Callithrix jacchus: one gene and its partner. The protein of the gene in region 1 purifies or fractionates together with the protein of each later gene. This does not show direct contact. Links are inferred from orthologs where the notes say so. Each region holds a gene or a part of one and is shown in the gene's direction. Other genes may lie near its edges.

What was found. The genes of interacting proteins can lie anywhere in the genome.
Region 2: the proteins of DICER1 (region 1) and PRKRA purify together in Homo sapiens (co-immunoprecipitation; 4 studies listed by BioGRID and IntAct, with this or other methods). This does not show direct contact. The link is inferred for Callithrix jacchus from reciprocal best matches to the Homo sapiens genes DICER1 and PRKRA.

What each region holds. Positions count from the first base shown.
Region 1 is NC_133509.1:129,971,339-129,979,917, reverse strand, and holds the start of DICER1 (endoribonuclease Dicer), read left to right. Parts: upstream 1-3,868; 5' UTR 3,869-4,028; exon of another isoform or gene 4,029-4,189; intron 4,190-8,579. UniProt on the Homo sapiens protein: Double-stranded RNA (dsRNA) endoribonuclease playing a central role in short dsRNA-mediated post-transcriptional gene silencing.
Region 2 is NC_133507.1:49,619,424-49,627,297, reverse strand, and holds the end of PRKRA (interferon-inducible double-stranded RNA-dependent protein kinase activator A), read left to right. Parts: intron 1-1,195; coding exon 1,196-1,370; intron 1,371-5,343; coding exon 5,344-5,501; 3' UTR 5,502-5,830; downstream 5,831-7,874. UniProt on the Homo sapiens protein: Activates EIF2AK2/PKR in the absence of double-stranded RNA (dsRNA), leading to phosphorylation of EIF2S1/EFI2-alpha and inhibition of translation and induction of apoptosis.

The sequences.
Region 1 (8,579 bases):
CCCACAGGTTGAGGCTCACTCCCCAAGATACCCCCACTGCCCCACTCTGCCTCTGACCACTGACCAGTCCCAAGTCTGGGCCTCCACAATTTCTCACAGGCTTCAAGTTGTTGTTCCCGCGACCTCCAGTTGGGTTAGATTAATTTACTAGAGCAGCTCACAAAACTCAGGGAGACACTTACGTTTACAAAGGGTATTATAAACAATACAGAAGAAAAGATACATAGGAGGAGACAGGAGAAGGGGCTCAGATCTTTCATGCCTTCCCTGGGTGCATCTCCCTCCCAAGAACCTTCATGGTTCCTGTTCAGCTATCTGGAAGCTCTCTACCTGTGTCCTTTTGGGTTTTTATGCAGGCTTCATTACATAAGGCATGACTGATTAAACTGTTGCCCACTGGTGATCAACTTGACCTTCAACCCTTCTCCTCTCCAAGAAGTTGGAGATAGGCTGAAGGTCCAACTCTCTGATCCTGCCTTGGTCTTTCTGATGACCAACCCCATCCTAAAGCTACCTAGGGGATTCCAGCCACCAGCCAACTCATTAGCATACAAAAGACATCACTTTGGTATAAGAAATTTAGGAGTTGTAAACCAGAAAATAAGGTCAAAGATCAAATATGTATTTCAAAATCTCACAAAATATACATATATACACTTTTACATTTATTTTACATCTACATGTATTAAGAACATTAATTTCCATGACTATCTCCAATTCCAATCCAATCACACAAATGTCTTGCTTTTCTTATTTCAGTACTTGTAACTCCCTTCTTCAACAGCGAGAAATCTGGCTCCCATTACCCTCAACATAGTTTTTCTTTGTGTAGTTCTCCTATGTGTAATCAGCTGTCTGACCTTGCAGGGCTGCTGCCCTACCTTCCTTGTTTGGGTTCAGACTCCCCACTGAGCTGACAGCCCAGTCCAAAATGGGAGTGGCTATATTCTCCCATACAGATGTTAAAGCAGACAGAACAAGTTAGTAGAGATACATAGAAAACAATCACAGCAGAGGGGCACAGAGAGTACCTTTTGGGTTCCTGAAAGCTTTCCAATTACTGGTTCCAGTTTTTGCTAAGATGTGGCTGTATTCCTGTTTCTGGCTTTTGTGAGAAGCACCTACATCATTAGGATAAATTCTCCCTTTTTGATTGAGCTAGTTCTGGTTGGTTTCTGTTACTTGCAAACAGAGAGTCTTAAACAAAGGTATATTTAAATCCCGGCTTGTTCTACAAAAAGAAACCAAACTGTGGAAATAATTGGGGCTAAGGGAAAATAAAAATTAGCCCATAGAAAATGCATACCACATGATACTATACTGTTGCTGAAATATACATGATACTATACATGGGCTGAAATATTAGCTCTAAGATTTCTAGTGATCCAAACAAAGTGTGAAACAATATCCCTTACAGAGTTTTATGTCTCTGGAATTAAAACAAACCAGCGAGGGAAGCATGAATAGATAGGCCATTTCCAGAAGTGAACTACTCAATAAACAACTGTGTAGCCATCTGGACAAAAAAATTAATTGGATCCATACCTCCCCCTATATATGAAATCTTTTCCAAATGGATCAACATTTAATTGTAAAAGACTTAAAGTCTAAGTGTCCATCAATAGAGAATTGGTAAATTATGGTATGGATATATCTGCAATAAAATGTTAAGGGGGTTGAAAAAAATATCAAGGAGCTCTGTACGTATTGCTATAATAAACATGTCCTCTGGATATATTAAGTTAAAAAAAACCAAGGTGGAGTAAATATGTATGGTGTGCTGGCATTTTTGTAAACAAGGAACACAAGGAGTGATTCTCATATACATAAACATTTTGAAGAATGAGCAGGAAACAGCAGTCACCTACTTGTGACAGAGGACTGGTGTGAGGGAGATCTTTTTCCACTGTGTGTCTCATAGAATTTCTAATAAATGAACAATATGGATGTACTACTTATTTTAAAAATAAGAACTGAAACTGATAAAAAATCAGATGGACCTGCTGATGGAGAAGCCTGACTAGTCTTGACATATTGTGAGAGGACAACCAGAGGGGCTGGAGTTGTACCAGCCCACAAATTTCCACTGCTGGTAGAGCCCAGTGCCTGCCCCCACAGTGAGATGCTGTCCTTCTCATAAAGGATTATCTCCGGAAAGCCTTATATGTATGACTGGGGACTTATAGGTATGACATGCTCACAGTGCTTGATATATAAGAAACTATTTTTTGATACATCGGTCTGCCAGAAGAATCCTGACTACTCCCTAATTTTGCCTATGAATATGCTACTTCAGGTCAAACTTCAGGCCAATTCATAGGAAATACATTATCAAAATTTTAGCACAGTAATGACTGAGCACACCAGCCTCAAAGCTGGACTACCTGGGTTCCAATCTCAGTTGTTCACTTACTGTGTACTTACCTGCTGGAAGTTATTCCTTTCTTCATCTGTGAAAACAGGAAGCAGGCTGGGCGCGGTGGCTGACGCGTGTGATCCCAGCACTCTGGGGAGGCTGAGGCGGGCAGATCACGAGGTCAGGAGATCGAGACCAGCTTGAGCAATATGGTGAAACCCCACCTCTACTGAAAATACAAAAATTAGCTGGGTGTGGTGGTGCACACCTGCAATTTTAGCTACTTTGGGAAGCTGAGGCAGGAGAATTGCTGGAACACAGGAGGTGTAGATTGCATATGGCGCCACTGCATTCCAGCCTGGCGACAGAGCGAGACTCCATTTGAAAAAAAAAGAAAGAAAGAAAAAAAGCAGTTACAGCACCTACCTTACAGGGTGCACATAAGGATCACAGGCATACAACCCTAGGTCAGCCTGCGCAATGGCAATATAATGCAGGCCACAGATGGCATTTACAATTTTGTAGAACCCACACTAAAAAAATACAAAAAGTAAAATGAAACTTTTATCCCAATATATCAAAAAAAGTTGGTCACTTCAACATGTAACAATAGAATAATTAATGAGATGCTGAACATGATTTGGTAAAGAACACATACACCTCGATTCGGACTAGCCATACTTTAAGCGCTCAGGAGCCACGTGGGGCTGATGGCCCCAAACTGGAAAGTGCAGCCCAGGCACCGCGGGCACACAGTAGGTTCTGCTCACGCCCAAGGGCTCAAACGTGGTCGCTCAAGCCCACCACACCTCATCTGGAGCGAACCGACCCATCACGGAGTCCACTGAAGAGATGTCTACATTTGGGCATAAATTAAGACGATGTTCTTTAAGCCAGCCGCTTCCTTAGCTCCCACCGATATTTTATAATTCCTACTAGAAGATGTGGTAGACAGTTCCGACCTATGCAAATGGACAGTGTACATACACAGGGCCACCGTCTATTTCTCATTATCTGAGGATCCCAGTTGGGGTGGGAGCGAAAGCGGGTGTTTGTAGTTTCACAAACTACAAATGCGGAGGCCCCCGCACCACTAAGGCGGGGAAGCGCAGGGCAGTGGGACGGTCCTTTAAAGACGGGAGGGAGGTGGTCAGAGGGGAGCTAACCTCTCCGGGGAACAACTACGGCCGCGTTACGGTCTATGAGTGTCAGGAGGAGCAACAATGGAGGCAGTCGAATTCCGAGAGCCCGGGGCGTCCGCCAAGTTTAGCTGGCACCGCAGCCTCGGCGCGCGGGTTCCCGAGGGCCGCAAAGACTCCCGGCCGCGGCGGCAAGAACTGCAGGGTCCAGTCACCGCGCTGGGCCGCAAACACCGCCTCCGCCTCCGCGCGCGCGCCCGCTGTCTCCCTGCTCCTGAGTGGCTGGAGGGCCGGGATTAACCTTTCACCGCCGCGCTTTGTCCAATCACAGGCTTGCTCTCATGCCGCCACGGGGAGAGCGGAGCGTGGGTGTACGGAGGGGCGGCGCGGGCGCCGGTGGGATTCTCCAAGCGGCTGTGCGCCGTTGCCGCGGGCCGTGCGCGGGCTGCGGGCCAGCCGGGCGCTGCGCAGTCTCCGCAGGCGCCGGCGGGAGGGGTCGAGGCGGAGCGCGGCGCAGGCTGCTGCAGGCCCAGGTGAATGGAGTAACCTGACAGCGGGGACGAGGCGACGGCGAGCGCGAGGAAATGGCGGCGGGGGCGGCGGCGCCGGGCGGCTCCGGGAGGCCTGGGCTGTGACGTGCGCGCCGGAGCGGGGTCCGATGGTTCTCGAAGGGCCGTGGCGCCCCGTGCTGCAGGTGAGGCGGGCTCCCGCGGAGCAGCTTTGTGTCCGGGGCGGGGAGCTGCTAGTCGGCCGCGCTCCCGCCTCCGCGCCGAGGCCCGCGTGCCTGCCCTGGGCCCCAGCCGCGCGTCCGGGCCTGGCGGCCGCTGGCACACACCGCGGCCTCTCCTGCCTCGTCCTCCCGCGCGGTGCGGCCTGTGGGCCCGGCGTCTGCCCGCCGTGGCTCTGCTCCTGGGCCCTGACCCCGGCGCCTTCCCGCGAGGCAGCCCTGGGAGACTTTCCGGGCCGCCTTAGCGTGGCAGGGGATGCTGGCGCCCGCCCACTTCCCTGCCTGGCGAGGCCCCGGGGCTCTTGACAGGTCCCGTCACGCGCGCGAAAGTGGCACGGGAGCAGCGGAGGTGGAGCCGCGCGCCTGGCCACCCGGAGCACCCTCGGGCCCTTCTCTGACCGGGCCGCTGCGCCGTGCCCGCAGGGAACGAAGCCTGGCTCTTGGTCCCCCCAGGAGGGTCCAGTGTGATTACTGGCAGGGGACCAGATCGGGGCCCGGGAGACCGGGGCCGAGGCCATTCTTTTGCCCCTCCCCTCAGATGTTTTTGTGCCTAGACCCCGAGGAGGAGTCTTCAGGGTTTTTGATTTTGGGGAAATCAGTGTATGTTTTAAGTTGGCACATCAGGTTTATGTAGATTGTCCAGAAAAGCTGAGTTGCCCTGACGGCTCTGCCTGGGGGTCAGAGCTCGCAAACCACTGAGTGATCCACGGAAACGTGGAGAGGAGTGGAGGGTCCTTGGTCTGTAGAATTCACTCAGTGCTTTTGTGGAGAGAGTTGTGGTTAAAGGGACACGTTTCTGATCTACACGATAAGTTCAAGTATTCTTAGGACTTTCAGGTTTTACAAACATTCATTTGATGAAAGAGGATCACTTGGACGTCTGCGCTTCTGTCTTCGAATAGTATGAGTCTTTGTAGTCCTGATTGTCAGGTATTTTCCCTGGCGCTTGTTTTCAGTTAGTGGAAAAGGCCTCAGGTTAGGAGTTAAGTAACTCGGAAAATATTGTTAAAAATGTGCTTTTTAAAACAGGTTAGCTATATTGAAAATGTATTGGTGTAAACATTAAGTTTTCTAAATAAAAATATGCATCCTAACCAAAAAACTACGTCTATTAAAAGATGGGTTTGGGATAAGCCAGGTCCTAGAGAATAGTAAGTTCGGATATTTCTGATTTCTTTGGGAATTAGGTTCCGGAATAGCCAGTTTATTTTGCAAAGTCTTTAAAACACCTGTGAGACGTGTATATTATATGGAATATGTGCTGTATACATACAGTACATACACAGTTACTTCAAAGCTTCATTTTAGGGCATATTCCTTAAAACTCAATAGATTAAAAAACTAAAAATTTTATTTTACTTTATTTTTATTTATGTTTTTTTTTAGAGAAGGAAAGGAAAAAAGTGAAGGAGAGGAAGAAAGGAAGAAAAAGAGGGAGAGAGAATGGAAATGTTGCTTTATTCTAAAAAAAAAATGGGTATTAATAATGGCCAATCAATATTTCATTTAAACCTATGAGTAGGTGTGATGTGGTATTGACAAGAATGTATATTTTGTGTATTTGAAGTGGAGAGCTCTATAAATATTTATTAAGTTTACTTGTTCTGGATCTGAGTTCGAGTCCTTGATATCCTTATTAATTTTCTGTCTCATTGAGTCTAAGTCTCTATGTATATGGGTGTTAGGATCATTAGCTCTCACTGTTGCATTGATCCTTTTACCACTATATCTTTGTTGCTTTAAAATCTATTTTATCAGATACAAGAATTGCAACTCCTGCTTTTTATTTATTTATTTATTTTTGCTCTCCATTTGGTTGGTAGATCTTTCTCCATCCCTTTGTTTTGAGTCTTTGTGTATCCTTGCATGTGAAATGGGTCTGGATGTAGCATACCGTTGGGTTTTGGCTGTATCTTTTGATTGGGGGATTTAGTCGATTTAAATTTAGGATTACTGCCATTTGATGTTAACTGGCTGTTTTATCCATTCGTTGCTCTTTACTTTTTGGTACATTTTTAGAAAGGCTAATACTGGTTGTTTCTTTCTATGTGTAATGCTTCTTTCAGAAGCTCTTGTAAAGCAGGCCTGGTGGTAATAAAATCTCTGAGTACTTGCTTGTTCATAAAAGATTTTATTTTTCCTTCAGTTCTGAAGCTTAGTTTGGCTGGATATGAAATTCTGGGCTGAAAGTTCTGATCTTTAAGGATGTTGAATATTGGCCCCCATTCTCTTCTGGCTTGTAGAGTTTCTGCTGAGAGATCTGCTCTAAGTCTAATAGGTTTCCCTTTGTGGGTAACCTGACCTTTCTCTCTGGCTGCCCTTAGTATTTTCTCCTTTGCTTCAATCCTGGCGAATCTAATGATTATGTGCCTTCTTGAGGAATATCTTCTTGAGGAATATCTTTGTGGTGTTCTCTGTATTACCTGGGGTTGAATATTGTCCTGCTTTGCTAGTTTAGGAAAATTTTCCTGAATAATATCCTGAAGAATATTTTCCAGCTTGGATTCATTCTCTCCATCGCATTCAGGTACACCTATCAAACATAAATTTGGTCTTTTCACATAGTCCCACATTTCTTGGAGACTTTGCTCATTCCTTTTTATGCTTTTTTGTCTAATCTTGTCTTCTCATTTTATTTCATTAAGTTGGACTTCGACCTCTGATATCCCTTCTTCTGCTTGATCAATTCGAGTGTTTAAACCTGTGCATACTTCTCGGAGTTCCCGTATTGTATTCTTCAGTTCCATTAACTCACTTATATTCCTCTCTAAATTATCTATTCTCATTAGGATTTCGTCAAACCTTTTTTTTTAAAGTTCTTAGTTTCTTTACATTGGGCTACAACATGTTCTTTCAACTCACAGAAGTTTCTTATTATCCATCTTTTGAAGCCTGATTCTGTTAATGGGATGCGCTAGTTCTCCATCAAGCCTTGTTCCCTTGTTGATGAGGAACTGTGATCCTCTTTAGAGGGAGAGGCATTCTGATTTTGAGTATTCTCAGCCTTTTTACGCTGGTTTCTTCCCATCATTGTAAATTTATCCACCTGTCATCTTTGTAATTACCAACTTTCAAATTAGGTCTCTGAGTGGACATCCAAGTTGTGAATTCCCAGGGCCGAAATATGAGCAACCCACTGCGCCGGCCAAAACAGCGGGGTTAAGACTGATGGTGCTTTTCTGCCCGGGAATCTCCAGTCTGGCTTCCTTCTTGAGTCCGTAATAGGCGACTCTGCCTTCCCTGAGCTCCAACTGTCGGTCAGAAGGGGAACCAGTCCCGTTTACTCTGCACCAAGAGCTGCCGCGCCGGCCACAAGAGTCGCGCTGGTGGCCTGTGCGGCTCCTCCACTGGGAATCTTCTGCTCCGTGAGGGACAAAAATTTGTCTGAAGTGTGGCGTTCTCCGTTCTCTGCGCTTTCACTGGGAGCTGCAATCCTGAGATGTTAGTGATCAGCCATCTTGGATCATTCCTCAAAACCAAAAATTTTAAGATGGTTGCTATAAACATCGATCATGGTAACATAGGTTTATAGGTTTACTCATGGCACCAAAATGCTCTTTTAAGAAAAGACATCTTCCTACTGTTCTTTATAGTAAGGGCCTGCTTTTCCTTTTGTGCTTCCATCCTATCTTTGAAGGGTAAGCCTTGACTGCTGTATTTTGCCTCTGGCTCAGTGTGTGTGTTGTGTAACTGGGTTGTTTGGGCTCTTATTGAGCTTTATTATCTTGGTTTTAGAAGACATTTTCTTTTGATGTGGCTCATGATTCTTATTTGACAGTGATTTTGTGGCGTCATATAGTGGGCTGTACAGTACTTGCAGTGCTACCTTCTACAGAGGATGACTTTTATGGCATTGACATGTTTTATCCTCTACCACTATCTGACACGTGTGGTGCTTGTTTCATTTGAGAAAGTAGATAAATTTAGTAGACATTCTCTCACTTGTGAGCCTGCCACGTCATGGCAGTTTCCACCTACTCATGGCAAAGGAGATTAGGGCAACATGTTATTAAGTGCCTCCTTGTTATATGCTAAGATGTTTCAGGTTCTTCTACATACATTCTATTTTAATCCTCATTGCGACCCCGGGATCAACTCAATATTGTACTTGTTTTACAGGCAAGGAAACTTAAGAGTCAGTGATTATTACTCTGAGTTGGGAATCTCAAAGTCACAGAGCTGAGATCCAATCGTGGTTCGGTTTCAGAATCCTTGCAGGCATACTCTTTGCATTGCATTGCGGTTCCAAATGGATTTCAGGGGGAAGTTCTGGATCACAGGTAGTGAGTCCTCAGTCAAGACTTGTGGAATGAATGAAGTTGTGTCTAACCTGAAATGTTCAGGTGAATGAATGGTT
Region 2 (7,874 bases), on another chromosome or scaffold:
CATTTAGTGGGCTCATTATGTATTTGTTCTTAGTGCCTGTATGTATTTTTAAACCATGTAAATAGTGTTTTTTAATTTATTTAAAAACAGTATTTTAAAGTTTCTGTAATATAAATTTTTATTTGGTAAATCTAATGAATAATTAATTCTATATCATGCCATCTCTAGAATCTTTTGGAAATTGCCTTCCCTCTGTTGTGCTCATTAATAAAATTAGGAGTAGTACCTGTGGCAGGCGCAGTGGCTCAAATCTGTAATGCCAGTAATTTAGGAGCCTGAGGTGGGCAGATTGCCTGAGCTCAGGAGTTCACAACCAGCCTGGGCAACCCAGTGAAACCCTGTCTCTACTAAAAAAAATACAAAAAATTAGGCTTAGTGGTGTGCACTTATAGTCCCAGCTCCTCTGGAGGCTGAGCAAGAGAATTGCTGGAACCCGGGAGGCAGAGGTTGCAGGGAGCCAAGATTGCACCACTCCACTCCAGCCTGTGGGACAGAGCGAGACTCCATACAAAAAAAAAGTAGTAGTCCTACTTACTTCAGAAAGTAGTTGTTTTTATTAATGGCCTGTGAAAGCAATTTGAGAACCGTAAACTTAAGGAAATATAAGGAATTTTAAGGACAGAGATGAAAAGGGAAGGAAATAGGAGAGAATAAAGAAAAGAGGAAAAGCAGAAAGAAAAAGGAAAAAATACTCAGTGGAGTTCTAGGATAGAAGTCTGATAAGAACTTTTTGATATCCTGCCATTTATTTGAATGACTTGTTCCTCAAACCCAACTTGCACATTTCATGGTTTTTTTACATTTTGTTTGTTTGTTTGTTTTCTGCTTTATAGCTGTCAGTTACAGTGATTGGTATTTAATTTTAAAAAAGATGAAAATTGTTTAATATTTTAATCTGCAAATTGCCCCATTAGGCAGATATAATTATTTGTGGATTAATGCTCCCAAATATCTTGTACCTCTTAATGTGACCATCAGAAAATTTGACTGAGAAACATTTGTACTATACAAAATACAAAATACTTTCAGTGTATTATTGCAAGTGCTTCTAATATATTGTAGTATTTCCTAAATGCGTGCTTTTTAATGTTGTCTAACATATTAAATGTGCTTAATAAGTACGTTTAATTATACTGGTACTGTTGTTGGAACCCAGTCCTAGTTAAGAGTCTAAATCTTTATCTCTGTTTTTCAGACAAATGTAGTAGGACATTCTTTAGGATGTACTTGGCATTCCTTGAGGAATTCTCCTGGTGAAAAGATCAACTTACTGAAAAGAAGTCTCCTTAGTATTCCAAATACAGATTACATCCAGCTGCTTAGTGAAATTGCCAAGGAACAAGGTTTTAATATAACATATTTGGATATAGGTATGATTTTATTTTTCTTTGGCTTTCCTAAGACATGTTCATTTAAAAGTGTGTTTGAGAAACAAAAATTTATTATAATGTATTTTATTGATCAGGGATTCTAAGTATATATAATTACTAGGCCAATAATGTATGTAATTGATATGTCCCATTCTTATGGACAGTAATAATAGCTAACATCTATAGTTATAATAGCAAAGATAGAATTTTACTATGTGCCAGGCACTGTTCTAAGGAGATCACATGTATCTACTCACTGAATCTTCAGACTAACTCTATGAAGCAAGTTCTCTTACCCTTATTTATAAGTGAAGAAAGAAAGGCACAGAAAGGTTGAGAAACTTGCTGAAGATCACATAGCTAGTCAGTGGTAGAGCAAGATTAGGGGGAGAGTCCCCGCAGATTCCCTGGCTGTTAAACTAGCCCAGATGGGCTGCTGGGCAAATGAAAAGGCACCCAGATTCCTAGCACAAGTACCAACTTTGTGGTGCCCAGACCTTTTCTCTCTACTTGGTCACTGTATGCCAATTCTGGGAGGTAAGTGGAGACAAGTCAATTTATAGTTTAATCTCATCCTAGCCATCATCATCTGTATTTTCTGTAGCCCTTAATCATTTGGATAGACAAATATGGACAGAGGGAAAAGCAAGTCAGTATGGATTTTCTTTTAATTCAATGTTTTGTATCTTTATTTATTTTTCTTTTTTGAGATAGACTCTTGCTCTGTTGCCCAGGCTGGAGTGCAGTGGCACAATCTCGGCTCACTGCAACCTCTGCCTCCTGGGTTCAAGCAATTCTCCTGCTTCAGCCTCCCAAGTAGCTGGGATTACAGGCACCCACCACCACACCTGGCTAATTTTTGTATTTTTTTTCCCCCAAGATGGAGTCTTGCTCTGTTGCCCAGGCCGGAGTTGGACTGGCATGATCTCGGCTCATTGCAACCTCTCCCTCCCAGGTTCAAGAAATTCTTCTGCCTCAGCCTCCTGAGTAGCTGGGACTACAGGCATGCACCACCACGCCCAGCTAATTTTTGTATTTTTAGTAGAGACAGTTTCACCATGTTAGCCAGGCTTGTCTAGAACTCCTGACCTCATGATCCGTCCACCTCAGCCTCCCAAAAGTAATTTTTTCTTTTTAGTAGAGACGGGGTTTCACAATGTTGGCCAGGCTGATCTTGAACTCCTGACCTCAAGTGATCCGCCCACCTCGGCCTCCCAAAGTGCTGGATTACAGGTGTGAACCACCATGCCTGGCCAAGGTATCTTGATTTAACATCAGTATAATGTGTGAGAAATTTTATATCCCTATCCAACCACAGTGAGATGTGGGGACCTTGCTTGTTAGGGCCCCCTGGTCCTGGGAAAGTAGGGCACTTAGGCTTAAAGAACTTCTGATAATCTCTGCTACTCTGGGATTGAAGGATGGGTTAAGTGCATTGTCTTAGTAAACCAAGAATGATGTAAAACCTGGGAAGTCAGTGCAAACAGATGGTTAGAAAAGGTGTCTAATGAAAAATTAGCTGGGCATGGTGGTACATGCCTGTAGTCCTGGTTACGAGGGAGGCTGAGGTGGGAATGATCACTCAAGCCCCTGAGGTTGAGGCAGCAGTGAGCCATGATCATGCCACTGCTCTCCAGCCTGGGTGACAGAGTGAGACCTTGTCTCAAAAAAAAAAAAAAAAAAAAAAAAAAAAGAACTAAAAGAGGTCAGGCATCCAGCACTTTGGGAGGCCAAGGCACGCCCGTGTCTGACCATACATAGGTGGATAACCTATGGTCAGAAGTTTGAGACCAGCCTGACTAACATGGTGAAATCCCATCTCTACTAAAAATACAAAACTTAGCCAGGCATGTTGGCATGCATCTGTAATCCCAGCTACTCAGGAGGCTTAGGTGGGAGAACAGCTTGAACCCAGGAGTCGGAGGTTACAGTGAACCGAGATCATGCCACTGCACTCCATCCCAGGAAACAGAGTGAAACTCCATCTCAAAAATAAAGAAAGAAAGAAAAGGTGGCTGATGAGAGACCATTCATCCAATGAATATTTATTAGTGTCTGCAATCTGCTGCGGGTTTAGAATACAGAGATGAACGAGCCATGTCATGAATAGGACTAGGAAGGATACAGAATCTAGGGAAAAAAGGAAACCTGAAATACATTTTTAGATTATGAATTAATGATGCTTTTGAAACATTTCTTCCTACTTTTGAGAACTAAATAGTTCTTACACATATGGAAAGCAGTCTAAAAGCCACAGTCTGTTAATTTGGCTAGTTTCATGCAGTTCTCTTTAAAAGAACCTAGATATTCTCCAAAGGAGAGACACAAATGGTCTGAGCACAATGGCTAACACCTGTAATCCCAGCCCTTTGGGAGACTGGGCCTGAGGATCACTCGAACCCAGGAGTTTGAGACCAGCCTGGACAACATAACAAGATCCTGTCTCAAAATTTTAAAATAAAATGAAAATGTACAAATGACCAAAAAACACATGAAAAGATGCTCAAGATCATTAGTCAATAGAGAAATGCAAATCAAAACCACAGTAAGATAACCCTTCATATCCACTAGGATGGCTATAATTAAGGAAGTGGAAAATAGCAAGTGTTGGTGAGGATGTAGAGAAATTGGAACCTTATACATTGTTTGTGGTAATATAAAGCAGTTCAGCCTCCGTGGAAAAAGCTTCTCAGTTCCTCAAATGAATTGCCATGTGACCCATCAACTCCACTACTTAGCGGTATAAACAAAAACTGGTGTTTAAACAAACGCCTATACACACAGATATTTGTATATTCGTAGCAGCACTATTTACAAAAGCCAAAAGGTGGAAACAGGCCCAAATGTCCATCAGTGAATATAAACAAATTGTGGACTCTCCTTCCAATGAAATATTATTCAGCCAGTAAAAAGAAATGAAGTTCTGTTATATGCTGCAACATGGATGAACCTCAAGCAGGGGCTGGAGGGTCGGGAGAATAAGGACCCTCTGCTAAATGTGAATGAGGTTCCGCTTGGGGTGATGAAAATATTTTGGAACTAGATAGAGATGGTGGTTGTGCACATTGCAAATAGGAAATATCACTGAAGTGCTTACTTTAAAATGATTAATTTTTCTAAGAAAATAAAATAACCTAGATACTAGAACTAGAAAGCCTTTTCACTCATTAAATAATCCCATTGTTTCTGGATATTTTCCACTAAATGGAATATCAAAATTAACATTTTTATTATGCCTACTTTAAATCATACCACACGTTTCTACTTCTTCCCCCTTGCCCTCATTTCAGTCATCTTTAGTAAGAGTGACTCATCAGTTGATGGGAAGAGCATTTGTTTCCTGGGTCAGGTATTGTTTTTAAAACACCGTGACCCATTTACAGTATAAAGAACTACACTCTGCACAGACTCAAAACCTACCAACATGAACGGACAACTCCATAAATACATACAATTATTATGCATCAATTAAAACTTTTTTTTCTAATAGACACAAGGGAGGCACAGGGAAGGTTTTGCCTTGACCCAAGTTATTCCTGGTTCAAATGCCTCCTGAAAATGACCCTAGTGGAAAATACAGTCTCTCCAGTCCTCTAGCACATGGTTCTTTGTCTTTTGAGAAAGTTACTGTGGTTCGGTAATTTCCAAACACTGTTCCACTAACCATATTAGAATTGCCTTGGGAGCTTTCTTCTTTTTTAAATGTAGGAATCAGCCACCCCCAACCCTATGTTTCTGATTGAGTGAGCTAGAGTGCAGCCTAAATATCTGTATTTCTTTAAAGTTGTCAGATGATTATGAAATACAGTATGTTTGAAAACTGCTACAGCTGAGCAGTTGTGGTTTTTTGTTTGTACAAGCAAAACAAAGATTTCAAGTGAATGCTTAAAAAGAAAATAAGAATTGTTTTTACAAAGGGATCTACTTTATACATATTTGACATTAACCATCGTGCTTGAATGTGTCATTACAGAAGAACTGAGCGCCAACGGACAGTATCAGTGTCTTGCTGAACTGTCCACCAGCCCCATCACGGTCTGTCACGGCTCCGGTATCTCCTGTGGCAATGCACAAAGTGATGCAGCTCACAATGCTTTGCAGTATTTAAAGATAATAGCAGAAAGAAAGTAAACTTGGAGCAACTTAAAAAATCCTTCAGTAGTACATAAAAAGTTCCCCTCTTGCCTCGTCCCAAGTAAAAACTTTTACCATAGTGTTTGAGTTTATGTCTTGTTTTTAAATCACTCCATAGATTCCATCAACACTCCAGATTTAACTCTGTCCTCGTAGTTGTTATTAAGCTCTTTTTAACGGCTTCAACTTTGTATCGGTATATTGTATTTATAAACTTTGTACCACAAGACAGAGTGTAGCACCCATTTTACAGTGCCATGCACATCAGAGAAAGAAACTGCATGTTTGTATTTGATGATAATGAAATAAAAATGCTAGCAACAGTCTTTCTTACTGGTGCTTAAGCTCTTCTTTGCACAAAGCTTTGTAAAGGGAATTCAGAGGAAGCCCTTTAGAATTAGAGTCTTGAGGGACAGCACTAACAGGCCTTTATTAAGTATGATTGTTAAATTTCAGGGAACATGATTAGCCTGCTGTGTATTTGAATTCATGTAACAAAGAGCTGTTATGATGGGATTCTCATTTTATTAAAAAGCTACTGACTTGACTGTCACCCTGTTCTTGTTAGCCATTGTTATGAATAACATTTTAATGTTGATATTCTGTTATTTATATAGCTCTAATTTACTTCTAAAAATCAAAGGTGAAAATAAAAAACAATGGCCTAAGCAAAATTTACAAACATACATATAATGGGTTACTTCCTTACTTTTTCTAAGCCTATGCAACCTTGTATTTTTCTTTGACATAACCATACACAGGTGAATTATTAGTTTAAAAAGCATTTGGCCAGGCACAGTGGCCCATGCTATTAATCCTAACTCTTTGGAAGGCCAAGGTGGGAAGATCCCTTGAAACCAAAAGTTTGAGACCAGCCTGGGCAACATAGTGAGACCCCATCAAAAAATCAGTCAGGTGTGGTGGCACACTTTTAGTCCCAGGTACTTAGGAGGCTGAGGTGGGAGGATTGCTTGGACCCAGAAGATCAAGGCTGCAGTGAGCCAGGATGACACCATTGCACTCCAACCTTGGTGACAGAGTGAGACCCTGTCTCAAAAAAAAAAAAAAAAAAAAAAAGCATCAGTAGAATTACCCAAAAAACCTTCCCAGCTTGCTCAATTGCAAAAATGTTCTAAAGGGAAGAGTGGTTAACAGGTTAGGGAATAAGTCTAATGAACAGATTTTAATTTTACCTTTCGTGTTTCCATATATCCTCTTGTAACATCTCAAGTCTTCCCACCTGTCAGTACCAGCTCGTGCTAGCTTTCTAAGTTAAGTGGAAGTGTCAGCCCTGTGTTTGGAGATCAGAGAAAGCTTCATAGAGGAAATTTGAAGGTAGGTCTCATGTATTCATACAGAAGGAAGTATATAGAAGGTATTTTTGCCTGTAAAGAAATGATATCTGGAATTCTTTGAGAACAAAACTACAAAATAAAGGAAAACCAGTACATGTAACTTATTTTAAATTCTAAAGAGCACTTACATAGCTCCATATTCTAAGCTCCATTTGTCAAACCATAGAAACTTAGGTACTTTTTTTGGCAAGGTTAAGGAATAGACTTAAAAGATTGGAAACAAAGCTAGGCATAATAGGATCTTGTGACTTTTTAAAGATTGAACCAAGGTTTTAGTAAATGGTCTTGGATATAGGGAGCAAAATGAACTCTCTAGAGATGACATTTGACTCTTCTGCATAGTGAAATGCTGACTTGGATAAACTAGGGGAAGATTTCATAAGGCAGTGGAAGAAAAGGATAATATCACTTGGTTGTAGACAGTCCATATGTATTGATAAAATGAGGTCTCAGGATAAGGTGCCCAGAAGATAAACTTGCTGCTGCCTCTGCTTTTCCTGCTTCTGGCTCTGGAGGAACATGCATTCTTACAGACACTTTTCAGTGTCACCTCTCAGATTATCCGCATTTTCTAGGGAGTTAGGGATTTTCTTGGACCATCAGGTGTATTCTTTAACACCATTTTGTTTAGCCCTCTGTTAAAGTTCTTAACCAATATAATTAGTCAAACAGCTGCTCATATGCTACTGGGCTTTTATAGAGATACAGCACCTGACGAAGGGATGCCAAGTGGCCATGCAGCCAAGACCACTGATCATGAGCTGGGTTCTATACATGCAGAACACAAACATAGGCAGAGGACACGGTATACTGCATTAGCAAGCAGCCTAGACTCCCATGTCATCTGCCACTGTTGCACCGGTGTTTCTCCCTTGGCTTGTATCTATTGTCACTGATCCCATATGACCAGTTGATGAAAGAGGAAAATGCATGAACTTCACCGACATGTTTATATTTTGGCAAACTGAAAATAGATGGTGTCTTTATTACTCTGTCAGGGGTGGCCTTGAAAATC